Linked DNA regions of Oryctolagus cuniculus. The protein of the gene in region 2 purifies or fractionates together with the protein of the main gene of each other region. This does not show direct contact. Links are inferred from orthologs where the notes say so. Each region holds a gene or a part of one and is shown on either strand. Other genes may lie near its edges. The genes, in order: CLTC, CLTA and CLTCL1.

Region 1 (3,647 bases), on a different chromosome or scaffold from region 2:
CCCTTTGTGGGAAAGATTTATTTATTTTGAGTTAAGAGCTACCCAGAGAGAGGCAGAGACAGAGTATTTTTTACAGCTTTAAGATGCTATTACAATGCTCGTTAGAGAATTTGGGAACAATATCTAGCTCTGGCTCCTGAGTCCAGCTTCCCACTAAGGTAAACCTAGGAAACAGTAGTGATAGCTCAAACAATTGGGGTCCTGGCTACTGTGGGCTTATGGAGAATAAACAGTTTAGAATTCTCTAATAAATAATAAGTAAATAAAGACTGGGAAGAATGTATGAACAGGAAACCCACTTGCTGGATGTGAGCATTGTTTGGCCCATTGATGAACTCTTCTAACTCCGCGAGACGGTTAGTTTTGGCCAGTGCAAATATCAACTCCGTCTCCACATAAGACTCTCGGGCCTTTTTACGGGCCATCTGCAAGTACTTCACCAGCTCTTCCCAGTTTCCTAAGTACAGAAAAAGAAAAAATAAATCCGAACACTAGCATCCTAGCATATTTTATCACCCAAGTAAATGAGAATTGCTCTAAATTGCCTTTTAAAGGAAACATTACAGAGAATAACAAATGTGAACCATGCAATGCATCTAAAATTTCAAATATGCTATTAAATATCTGTATTATCACTGACCAAATAAACAACTGAATTGCTTTTTCATTTACGGTTGTAAGATGAGAACTTGTAGACTACAAAACAGAAAATTAATCTTCGTCACATATCTTTAAGTTCATGAAATGCAGCCTGTCTTTAGCTGGACTAAGATGGAAGGATGTAAGTTTTTCAGAATTCAATTCCTAGTTGAAAGGAAATGCTTAGCATGATCATTTTCTGAGGTCTCAAGCACATCAAGGTAACAAGTCATACCACTAGTATTGGCAGCCTGAACGACTTCCATGTATGATGAAGGATCATCAGCTTTAATGTAAGAATCAATGGCTTCTTTCACCATTCCTTTCTGCAACTGGGCTTTTGCAAGTTGACTCCAGACCGCAGGTTCATTGCAGCGTTCAGCAAACTCATATGCCCGGTCCAAGTTTCCAATATGTTCAATCAAGACCTAGGCAATCCATTTTTAAATTATATTTACAGTAAAACGGGTCTTAACCAAAGCAATTACATTTAGGCTGTTAGCACTGTATTGCCTTTCTACTCCACAGTAATTAGTTAAGCCCAACCTCATAGGTCAATGCATGCTCTGAATAAAAACAAGGCATTACATTAATTCAATTTACATAGAATCTGAAGATATACCTGCACTGCTGAAGTATTGACATCAAATTTCCGGAAAATAGCAAATGCTTCTTCAAAGAGCTCATTGCTGATGGCAATATTGGCAATATCTGGAGCATCATAATTATCCAGGCGGTTAATATACTCCATAACACGTGTACGGTCAGCCTTAATTGCAGTGAGAATGAGGAGATTTTGCAAATTCCTTTAAGAAAGAAAGACATTCAGCTTCTTCTCTAAGAGAATATCAAATGGCAGAAGACAAGGGTGCAGTAGGAGGGTCCAGAGGCTCTGGAATGGGAGCTGCAAAGCTCATAGAGGCAAGGCCGAGGACACTGAGTGCCTCCCTGTTACCAAGCTGGGCTGCCTGGTAAAAGACATGAAGATCAAGTCCCTGGAGGCCATCTATGTATTTCTCTTGCTCACAAAGAATTTGAGATCACCGAGTTTTCCCCAGGCCATCCCTCAAGGATGAAGTTTTAAAGATTATGCTAGGGCAGGGCCAACACTGTGGCGTAGTGGGTAGAGCCCCCGCCTGCAATGCCAGCATCCCATATGGGTGCCAGTTCGAGTCCCAGCTGCTCCACTTCTGATCCAGCTCTCTGCTATGGCCTGGGAAAGGAGTAGAAGATGGCCCAAGTCCTTGGGAGACCCAGAAGAACATCCAGGCTCCTGGCTTCAGATTGGCGCAGCTCCAGCCACTGCAGCCATCTGGGAAGTGAACCAGCGGATGGAAGACCACTCTCTCTCTCTCTCTGCCTTTCTGTAACTCTTTCAAGTAAACAAATGAAATCTTAAAAAAAAAAAAAAATTATGCCAGGGCAAAAGCAGATACACACTGACCAGTAGATCAGGTTCAAGGTATTTGTTGCCACTGTGTACAACAATGGCCAGGTCAGCTGGGGTGTCAAGTGTCCCAAAGAGGTAGCCAATGTCATTCAAAGAACCATCATCCTGGCCAAGGTCTCCACTGTGCCAGTGCAAAGAAGCTAATAGGGAAACAGGTGAGCAAGACCCATACCATGCCTTGCCAGGTGATTGAACGCTAAGGCTCTGTGCTGTTATGTGTTATTGCTGCCCCAGAGACACTGACATCATCTGGGCCCCCGCCCCCAAGATGCTGCTGCTGATGGCTGCCATTGATGACTCCTACACCTCAGCCAGAGGCTGCAATGCTATCATGGGCAACTTTGCCAAGACCACCTTTGATGACATCTCCAAGACCTACAACTTGTTGACCCCCCTGCCTCTAGAAACACATTGTATTCACCAAATCTCCCCATCAGGAATTCATGGACCATCTTGTAAAGACTCACACCACAGTGACTGTGCAGAGGATCCAGGCTCTAGCTGATGCTACAACATAGGGTTTTACACAAGAAAAAGGAGAGTGAACTAAGGAAAGGAAAGGATGCATGATAAAGAGGGAAGAAAAGGGTAGAGGAGAGGGAGGAAGACGTTTAAAAGCAGTATTTAGAAAACTTATTTGTAGTAAAGAATAACCATTATGACTATAGTGGGGTGAGAAGGGAATATTACAAGAGAGCAAATTTAAGCAACCTTCTCTAATCTTGGTCTCTGTTCCTTTCCCAAACTGACAGATCATAATTAAAGGGTGAACATAATAGCAATGGATCTTCTGATTGCATACCTGTGTTCACTGAATACAGAGTTATCAAGGACAATTTTCTCCAGCAGTTCAATGAGTTCATTAGGAAGGTCTGCAGTCATGAAAGCCTTAACAGTTACTGACACTTCTTCAGGGTCTTGAGTTTCTGACAAAGCTGTCTGCACAACCTACCGAGCATATATAAGGAATAAGTACTAAAACTCAAGACAGTCTTAAAAAACATTACCTAATAAGAATAACTTGGCCTCTTACTGGAAAGCTTGAAACATGTAGTAAAGAATGAAATAGGAAAAACACATTTAAACTCACCACAGTACATGAATGTACATTATATGTAATTCTACTCTGCTGAAAAAAATCACTCTAACTGTAACTTTTTGTCTTTTCCCTAATTCATACATTATCTATACTAACATTCATCATCATCATCACTTTAATGGCTGCATATAATTCAGCTTCATAGGTATGGTATTTTAAAGTCAGTAATTGCTCTATTCCTGGCTATTTGCATAGTTCTCAGATGCTATAATAAATATCACTTCCAGGAAGCTTTTGATCTACTTTGGAATGTTCCTTGGAAATGGATCCTATGAAAGGAATGAATAATTAATAGCTTTTAATCTGTGCTTTTCCCAAATATTTTACTTATATCTTTATCAAGAGAATTTAACAATTATAACAACTCTCAAGTTTTAGGAATTTAAAAATATTTTGGGGCCGGCGCCATGGCTCACTTGGCTAATCCATCCCATACAGGCGCTGAGTTCTAGTCCCGGT
Region 2 (4,235 bases):
ACAGTAAATGTGCTGTATAATTATGTCATGTGTGAGATCTCTCTAAACAACTCTCTAGCACTGCTACCAGTAAAATTACCCTCTTCCAGCAAGACTAATTCACCTACTTCTCTTCTTTTTCCTTCCCTAAGCACTTGTCAGAAACATAACAGACAGCACCACAGTGATATGCTCTTTCTACAGCTCCCTGCTCCGCCTCATTCTCCCACCTCAGCTGGACTTGGGTTGCCTCCCTCCGGACCACACGTTCTTCCTCAATATTGCTCATGCCACTTCACTGAGCTGCTGATCTCTGGCTTCCCAACATTTCCTTCTCTGAATCTCCTAATTTCAAGAGTGAACCAGGGCTCAGGCCTAACTCCTCTGGTTTCTACCTAGGCCCATCCTCCATGGGAGCTTTTCCCCCAAGGCTGGGCAAGCTTAGCTATTTTCCTCTCTCCTCAATCTGTTACAGCCGATTGCCCATGTATCTTCTACAGGACACATGACAGAGACCTCCCACCTATAATCACTCGGTTTCCTCAGTACACCCCCAAGCCTACAGGCCTCAAACTGCTTTCTCCTCCTACCCCCAGGGAGCAATAGTACCTAGAAGCCAAGGGATGCTTACTACATGCCAGCAAGCACTCTCTATGCTTTAATGTAATCCTATAAGTGCAATGTGCTACACATTATGCAGAAAATGTAGTGGTTAACTACATAAAAACTGCCTAAGACAACAAACCTAAACTCATTCAAGCAGCAGTGGAAAGTACAAAACCTGTAACCACTAGAGTGTTTCTGAAAGACAGAAAGTGCCCAACTCCTGCTCTAATTCCCAAAGGAAGTGCTGACCCCTGCACTCTTACCAATCTCAATGCATGGTCAGGGCTTTAAGTCACTAAATGCTTAGTTCCCTAATAAAGTTCTTCCCAGGAACTAAGTCAGCAGTCAACCCCTTCCTTCCCTTTCCTGAAGGCCTGATGTACAAGACTCACATATCCGACCGCATTCTCTCCTTTTACCTTCCCAAACTGCCCAGCACCAACTCCTGCTGGCTTACATAGGACTCTTGGAGCTAACACTTTGCCAGTTTTTATGTACACGAGCAGTGTCAGGAACAGGCTGGGTGATGGGGATGGAATAGAGTTACACTGTCCCTCAACTAGGAGAGTCTCCTAGGGGTGCTGCTTCTCTCTGCTCGGTCCTATAGCCACAACTGCCTCTCTCTGACCCCAGCACACCCCAGCTAAAACACTGTAAGGGGGCGGTCCCATCTAAAGGGAGGGAGACTTGGGGCCCAGCTGATGCCCTTTTTTAAGCAAGTCACTTTTCACTAGGATTTAGTTTTCTAGTAAGTGAGGAGGCAAGCCAAAGGTCGATTTTAAACTCTCAGGCAATGACAAAATACCCCCCCAAACACTGGAAGCCAACTTTATCTCACAGTCACAACCCACTTCAGGCCAACCTGCTTGCCCCTGGCTGCCCCACACCCACCTGCTTCTTTAGGTGACTGCCTGACCTCAGAGGTCTCGGTTTCGGGTAGCAGAAACACTCCCATTTGCCAACAGTGCCCTACTCTCCTTTACTGGAATATTTTTTCAAGGAAAGGTAAAGCCATATCTCATCTCCACTCATTTCCTTCTTCCCCATACTACTAAATAGTTTGTTTGTTTTTTTTTCAATTCACCCTCTGCTTCTACACCACAATCCTAGGCACTTCACAGGTTAAGGCAGTCGAAGGTCAAATTGTCATCCCACCCAACTCTTATTTGTTCGGCCGGGAGGTGGGGTGGGGGGGAGTGGAGGCCACACAGCAGTCGCCTGTTCACCTCTGCTTCCCTCCCTGGCTGGTGCAGGTTTAATCGTGGGCTCTGTTTAGGCAATAACTACCGAAGCTGCTCCCAGAAGCCGAGGAGCTCGGAAGTCCTGACCGGAGTTTCTTTCTCCATGCTTTCTCGCCCTGCTTTCTTCGGTTCCCTACTCACTCCTCCCTTCCTCCCCGTAACCCAACGCCCTATGTACTTAAATGCTGAACTGCACTGCCATTCTTGTTTGTTTCCAAAAAAGACACTACTATTCTTAGGTTTCCTGCCCTCATTTCCTGATAACAGGTTCCGTGCTGGGCTCAGACTTGCCTGGGAGTCTGGCGAGAGTACGCCAATGCGGCTTCAGAAACCAGGCTTAAGGCACAGCAAGTGCTTAATTAAAAGTTGCTGAATTGAACGGGCTTCTCCGGGGCTGCAAGCCTCCCAGTCACTTGATTTTCTCTGCGTTCTCGCTCGGCCGGCGCCCAGCAGCGCTAGCACACACACACTCTCTCTCTCTCTCTCTCTCTCTCTCACACACACACACACACACGCACACTCGGAACGGAGCGGACTTCCCGAGCCCAGGCTCCTGCATGACTGGGCCGGGGTCTCGTTTCCTCTTTGCACTCCGCCCCAGCCTCCTGGCAAGAAACACGAGTCGTACGGAAGTGCTCGGACCCAACTCCGGGCCGAGTTTCCCCGGCAAGTCCTCCCGCCGCAAACGCGCCCGCCCTCTCACCCGGACCCCCCGGCGGCTCGCCGTGCGGCTGAGGCCCGGGGGCGCCGCCGTCCAGGATGGCGAAGGCCTCGTCGTTCTCGATGCCCGCAATCTCGCTCTCCTGCTGCGCCAAGAAGGCCGCGGCCGGATCTTCTTCGCCCGCTCCGGCCAGCCCGTTCCCCAGCGCTGGACCGCCAGGAGCACCGGCGGGAGTGCCGAACGGATCTAGCTCAGCCATGGCGGGCAATTCAACGGCACCAACACTGAAAGATAAACCAACCGACACACCGACACCGCGCCCGGCAGCGGCCGCTGTGGTGGCGACTGCGATCGGAACACAGCGGGAGGAGGGAGGAGGTGGAAGCGGAAGCCCTGCCCCTATATCCGGTTGGTCTTGGCGGTGTGGGAGAGCCGAAAACAGAACAGCCAATCAGAGGGCAAAAGTGGTTTCGGAGCTACCCAATCAGCAGTCGGAGGGGCGGGCCGCCGCCGACAACTCGTGATTCGGAGGTGAAGGAGGTGAGCCCCCGGGCCAGGGAGGCGGAAGTGCCGACTGACGGAAAGCGGCGTACTCCTCGCGGCCCTCGGGAGCTGGACTGTCCGGGAACAGCCGCTTCTGAGGGGACTGGAGTGCTGCGCCGGAAGGTGAGGGGTCGTTCGGCCGGCCGCAGTTGGCCAGCCACAGAAGAGATAAGCCACTTAGGTTTTCTGAACCTCAGTTTCCTCGTTTGTAAAATGGAACACGGATCCTGCGCTGCCTCCTTCCCGGGATTATCGGAAAAGGGAATCCTTTTTAGGATCTATGCTGCTGGCTTTTTAAAAAAATCTTTTTTAAATATTTAATTCATTCATAATTTGCTCCTTTACGGCAGACTTGACTTAAATGTAATTGATTCACTCTGATCAATTGATCTCCTCCATAAGTATTCACTAAAAGACGAACAAATCCTTGGCAAAGCATTGTGCAACCAGTGCACCATTTCAGAGCAAGACAGACGTTTTCCTAAACTGGAAAATCCCTTAGGGTGGCCTGCTTCTTGGGGACACTGTGGCCTGGGTGTTTGGGAGGGAGCCAGTGGCCAGGAGGAAACCCAGGTCTCTTGGGGACTTCCCTGAGGGTACCAGCCACACCCTCTGGTATGGACCTTTCTCAGCTAAGGACAGCAGGAGCTTTCTTTAGAAGGAAAGCTCTTTCAGCGTTTCTTTTACATCAGAGACAGGTTGCTAACATGACTAATGTCAACACCGTAGAAACAACAGTGATCCCAGTTCATCATGCTCATGTTGAAGAGTGGCCAACAGAAAGATCCTCCACACCACCACCACCCTAAAAAGTAAAAGCCAAAAATAGAAAGAAACCAACTAGAGGTCAGAGATGCCTCCAGAGTGAAGTCAGCAAGGGACAAGAAGGTGATTTTAAAAAAAATAAATACCTGTGTTTTGACAGAGAGCTATTTACCTAAAAATTATTTATTTTTTAAAAAAAGACATTTCTTGATTTATTTATTGAAAGGCAGGGTTACAGAGAGCAGAGAGAGAGGTCATCCATCTGCTGGTTCACTCCCCAGATGGCCACAACGGCCAGAGCTGTTCCAATCCAAAGCCAGGAGCCAGGAGCTTCCTCTGGGTCTCCCAGGTGGGTGCAGGGGCCCAAGCACCCAGGCCATCTTCTGCTGCTTTCCCAGGCCATAGCAGAGAACTGGATCGGAAGTGGAGCAGCTGGGACT
Region 3 (3,647 bases), on a different chromosome or scaffold from region 2:
CACGGCCCTCTTGATGTCATAGAGGTCGGTGTAGTGCTCCAGAGCCCGCTGCAGGAGGCCTGCCTTCTCACACAGCTGGCCAATGTGGGCCCGATCATAATGCGTAAACATCTGATTTCCAAGGATGGCATCTGCAACCTACAAAAACAGTGAGAGCATAAGAAAGCCTGCTTTGTGGCCGTCACCTCCGCAGAGCCACCGTTCAGCCATGTCCCCAGTGTGAGGGACAGCTCAGGAACCAGCGCTCATGGGCTCCTGCCCACGTCCACAAATCCAGGGGCGGCAGTGGCAGTAGCGCTGGCAGGTCCCAAGCAGAGCCCTGGCTCCCTTCCAGGCACCTGAGGCCCTTCATGTGTTGCCGGAGCACTGCGTGTGTGAGGGAGGCCAAGGCTCCAGACGGCACCACGATTGGGATGGACCTGGTCGCTCTTGGGACTTTCTGGTGATTGTTTTCCTGCAAGGTTCTCTACGGTAAGACTGACGTGTGAGTCAGACCCTCCTCTGAGGAGCTCAAAACTCAGACTAGGGACAGTGAGGTCTGGAAGTAACAAATCTCACTTGTGCTTAGCAGACTTCCCTAAGGGTAGACTTAGGGACTTGGGGTTGCATTTAATAAAACAGGTGTTTGATTAAGATGCCCGCATCCCACAATGGAGTGCCTGGATTTGAGTCCTTTCTCTAGCTCCTGATTCCAGATTTCTGCTAATGTAGACCCTGGGAGGCAACAGGGGATGAGTTCCAGTTCCTGACATCAGCCCAGTCCAGTCCTGTTCCATTGCAGTTACTTGGCTGGTGAAGGAGTGGAGCCAGTGGATGGGAGCTCTGTTTCTCTGACCCTTGAATAATAAGACCCAGCACCTCCACCCAGCACCCAGGAGCCAGCCTGGAGGAGGCATAGCCCCTACCTGCCGTCCAGCACACTGTTTCCTATGTCTTCCAGGCTGGGAGAACAGCAGCCCAGTGTGGGACCAGTCACATACACAGCAACCTCAGATGCAGCCTGCACCACACTGTACCAGGGCTGCACATATCCTGGGCTCCCCACGGAGCACACGATGCACACCAAGTCCTGAGAGAAAAGCTGGGGCACAAACAGCACTTGTCTGTGCCCTTGACCTTGGCTTCCTTCCATAGGTCCTCATTCATCTCCCTTCCAAACACCTGTTCCTTATCAGAGCCATGGTGTGTTTTAGAGAACTCAGAAAACACAGAAAAGCAAAGGCAGAGGGCATCTCCAGTGCCTCTCATCCAGAGAGGACAACCCCAACAACCCAGGCACTGTGTCTAGCTGCCTGCCGGACAGGCTGCCCGCCTGTGGCACTGGCATTCCCTAGGGTCTGTCTGTGGAGTTCCTGAGTCCTCTTCGCTTTGGTTTCAAACTTCATTTGCTAAAAACTGGCATGTATGAGTGTGTGTATTTATATATATATATATATATACACACATATATATATACACACACACATACATATATATATATACACACATATATATACATACATATATATATATATATATATATGGACCAGTGCTGTGCAGCAGAGGGTTAAGCCACTGCCTATGATACTGGCATCCTATGTAGGCAACGGTTCGAGTCCTGGCTGTTCCACCTCCGATCCACTTCCCTGCTAATGTGCCTGGGAGAGCAAGGGAGGATGGCCCAAGTCCTTGGGTCCCTACACCCATGTGGGAGGCCTAGAGGAAGCTCCTGGCTTCAGACCAGCCAGCTCTGGCCATTGTGGCCATTTGGGGAGTGAATCAGAGGATGGAAGATCTCTCTCTAACTCTGCCTTTCAAGTAAATAAAAAATCTTTCAAAAAAAATCAAAGGGGCCAGTGTTGTGGTCTAGCAGGTAAAGCCACTGCCTGCATTGCCAGCATTGTATATGGGCACTGGTTCGAGTCCCGGCTGCTCCACTTCCGATCCAGCTCTCTGCTGTGGCCTGGGAAAGCAGCAGAAGACGGCCCAAGTCCTTGGGCTCCTGCACCCACGTGAAAGACCCAGAAGAAGCTCCTGGATCCTGGCTATGGATCGGCACAGTTCTGGCTGTTGGGGCCATTTGGGAAGTGAACCAACAGATAGAAGACCTCTCTCTCTCTCTGCCTCTACCTCTCTGTAACTGCCTTTCAAATAAATAAAATAAGATTTATTTTATTATTTCAAAGAGTTACACAGAGAGAGAAGAAGCAGAGAGAAAGAGGTGTGTTCCACCCACTGGCTCACTCCCCAACTGGCCACAATGGCCAGAGCTGCGCTGATCAGAGCCAGAAGCCAGGACCCTCCCCACTGCAGGCAGTGGCTTTACCTGCTACACCACAGCGCCAGCCCAAAAATGCCTCTTATTTTTTAAAAAAGGAAAATAAGGGGTCAATGCTGTGGCGTAGTGGGTAAAGCCGCCATCTTTAGTGCCAGCATCCCATACGGGTACCAGTTCAAGTCCCAGCTGCTCCATTTCTGATCCAGCTCTCTGCTTGGCCTGGGAAAGCAGTAGAAGATGGCCCAAGTCCTTGGACCCCTGCACCTGCATGGGAAGATTGGGAGGAAGCTCCTGGCTTCTGGCTTTGTATCGGCACAGCTACAGCCGTTGTGGCCAATTGGGGAGTGAACTAGCAGATGGAAGATCTCTCTCTCTGTAACTCTGCCTTTCAAATAAATAAATAAATCTTTAAAAAATATGTTAAGTGAAAAAACGATACAAGGATAAACATTTTACGATTTCATTTATGGGAAGTACCTGGGACAGGCAAATTCACAGAGACCAAGAGCAGCACAGCTGTGGTGGCCAGGGGCTTGGGGCAGGAGGGAACAGGGAATTCTTGCTCAAATGTTACACAGTTCTTGTCTGGGAAACGTATAGCAGTAATGGTCGCATAATCATGGGGGTGTTCTTGATGCCACTGAATATATACTTAAAACTGTTAAATAGGTAAACTGTGACGTCTATATCACCATAATGAAACAAACAAACCTCTGGCAGGAGTGCAACCCAGCACACAGCCATCTGCACCCAGGCCCACTGCACAGAGGTGCCCCGGGTGCTCTGCCCCTCGGCGTGGGCCTACAAGTGTCACTTGCCTGGGGTGCGTGAATCAGGTTCATCTCCAACAGCCGCGTCTGCAGATGCCCCTCAGCTGGCTGATTGTTCTTCAAGGCATCCAGCAAGAAGGAAGTACACTGCTGAATTAAGCTGTTTTCCATGAAAATGTCCACAATCTGAAACAGATCCAAGACACATTTTCACCCAGAGCAAAGTCTCCATTTTTCCTACTGAAATAGGTCCTGAAATAGAACCCCTTTTAGAAACTCAACAACTGTTTTCTTCCATTGCATATTCCTAGGTCATCAAAATTCATGTAATTCATGAGCATTATTAATGTAAACAGTAACTGTGTAATTTAAAAACACTAAAATACAAAATGTCATCAAGGGTTAAAACTGGATGGGACAGGTGCTGTGGCGCAGTGGGTTAAGCCACTGCCTGTGACGTGCGCCTCCCATCTTGGAGAACTGGTTTGAGTCCTGGCCACTCTGCTTTCAATCCAGTTCCCTGCTAATGCACCTGGGAAATCAGTGGAAGATGGCTCAATGCTTGGGCCCCTGCCACCCAAGTGGGAGACCTGGATGGAGTTCCAGGCCTTTGGTTTTGG

Evidence for each region.
Region 1: the proteins of CLTA (region 2) and CLTC purify together in Homo sapiens (co-immunoprecipitation; 6 studies listed by BioGRID and IntAct, with this or other methods). This does not show direct contact. The link is inferred for Oryctolagus cuniculus from reciprocal best matches to the Homo sapiens genes CLTA and CLTC.
Region 3: the proteins of CLTA (region 2) and CLTCL1 purify together in Homo sapiens (co-immunoprecipitation; 3 studies listed by BioGRID and IntAct, with this or other methods). This does not show direct contact. The link is inferred for Oryctolagus cuniculus from reciprocal best matches to the Homo sapiens genes CLTA and CLTCL1.

The regions. Positions count from the first base shown.
Region 1 is NC_091448.1:34,977,443-34,981,089, reverse strand, and holds part of CLTC (clathrin heavy chain 1), read right to left. Parts: intron 3,038-3,647; coding exon 2,892-3,037; intron 1,446-2,891; coding exon 1,262-1,445; intron 1,068-1,261; coding exon 875-1,067; intron 458-874; coding exon 300-457; intron 1-299. UniProt on the Homo sapiens protein: Clathrin is the major protein of the polyhedral coat of coated pits and vesicles. Two different adapter protein complexes link the clathrin lattice either to the plasma membrane or to the trans-Golgi network.
Region 2 is NC_091432.1:199,050,326-199,054,560, reverse strand, and holds the start of CLTA (clathrin light chain A), read right to left. Parts: upstream 2,890-4,235; 5' UTR 2,747-2,889; coding exon 2,530-2,746; intron 1-2,529. UniProt on the Homo sapiens protein: Clathrin is the major protein of the polyhedral coat of coated pits and vesicles.
Region 3 is NC_091452.1:27,014,750-27,018,396, forward strand, and holds part of CLTCL1 (clathrin heavy chain 2), read right to left. Parts: intron 3,214-3,647; coding exon 3,076-3,213; intron 139-3,075; coding exon 1-138. UniProt on the Homo sapiens protein: Clathrin is the major protein of the polyhedral coat of coated pits and vesicles. Two different adapter protein complexes link the clathrin lattice either to the plasma membrane or to the trans-Golgi network.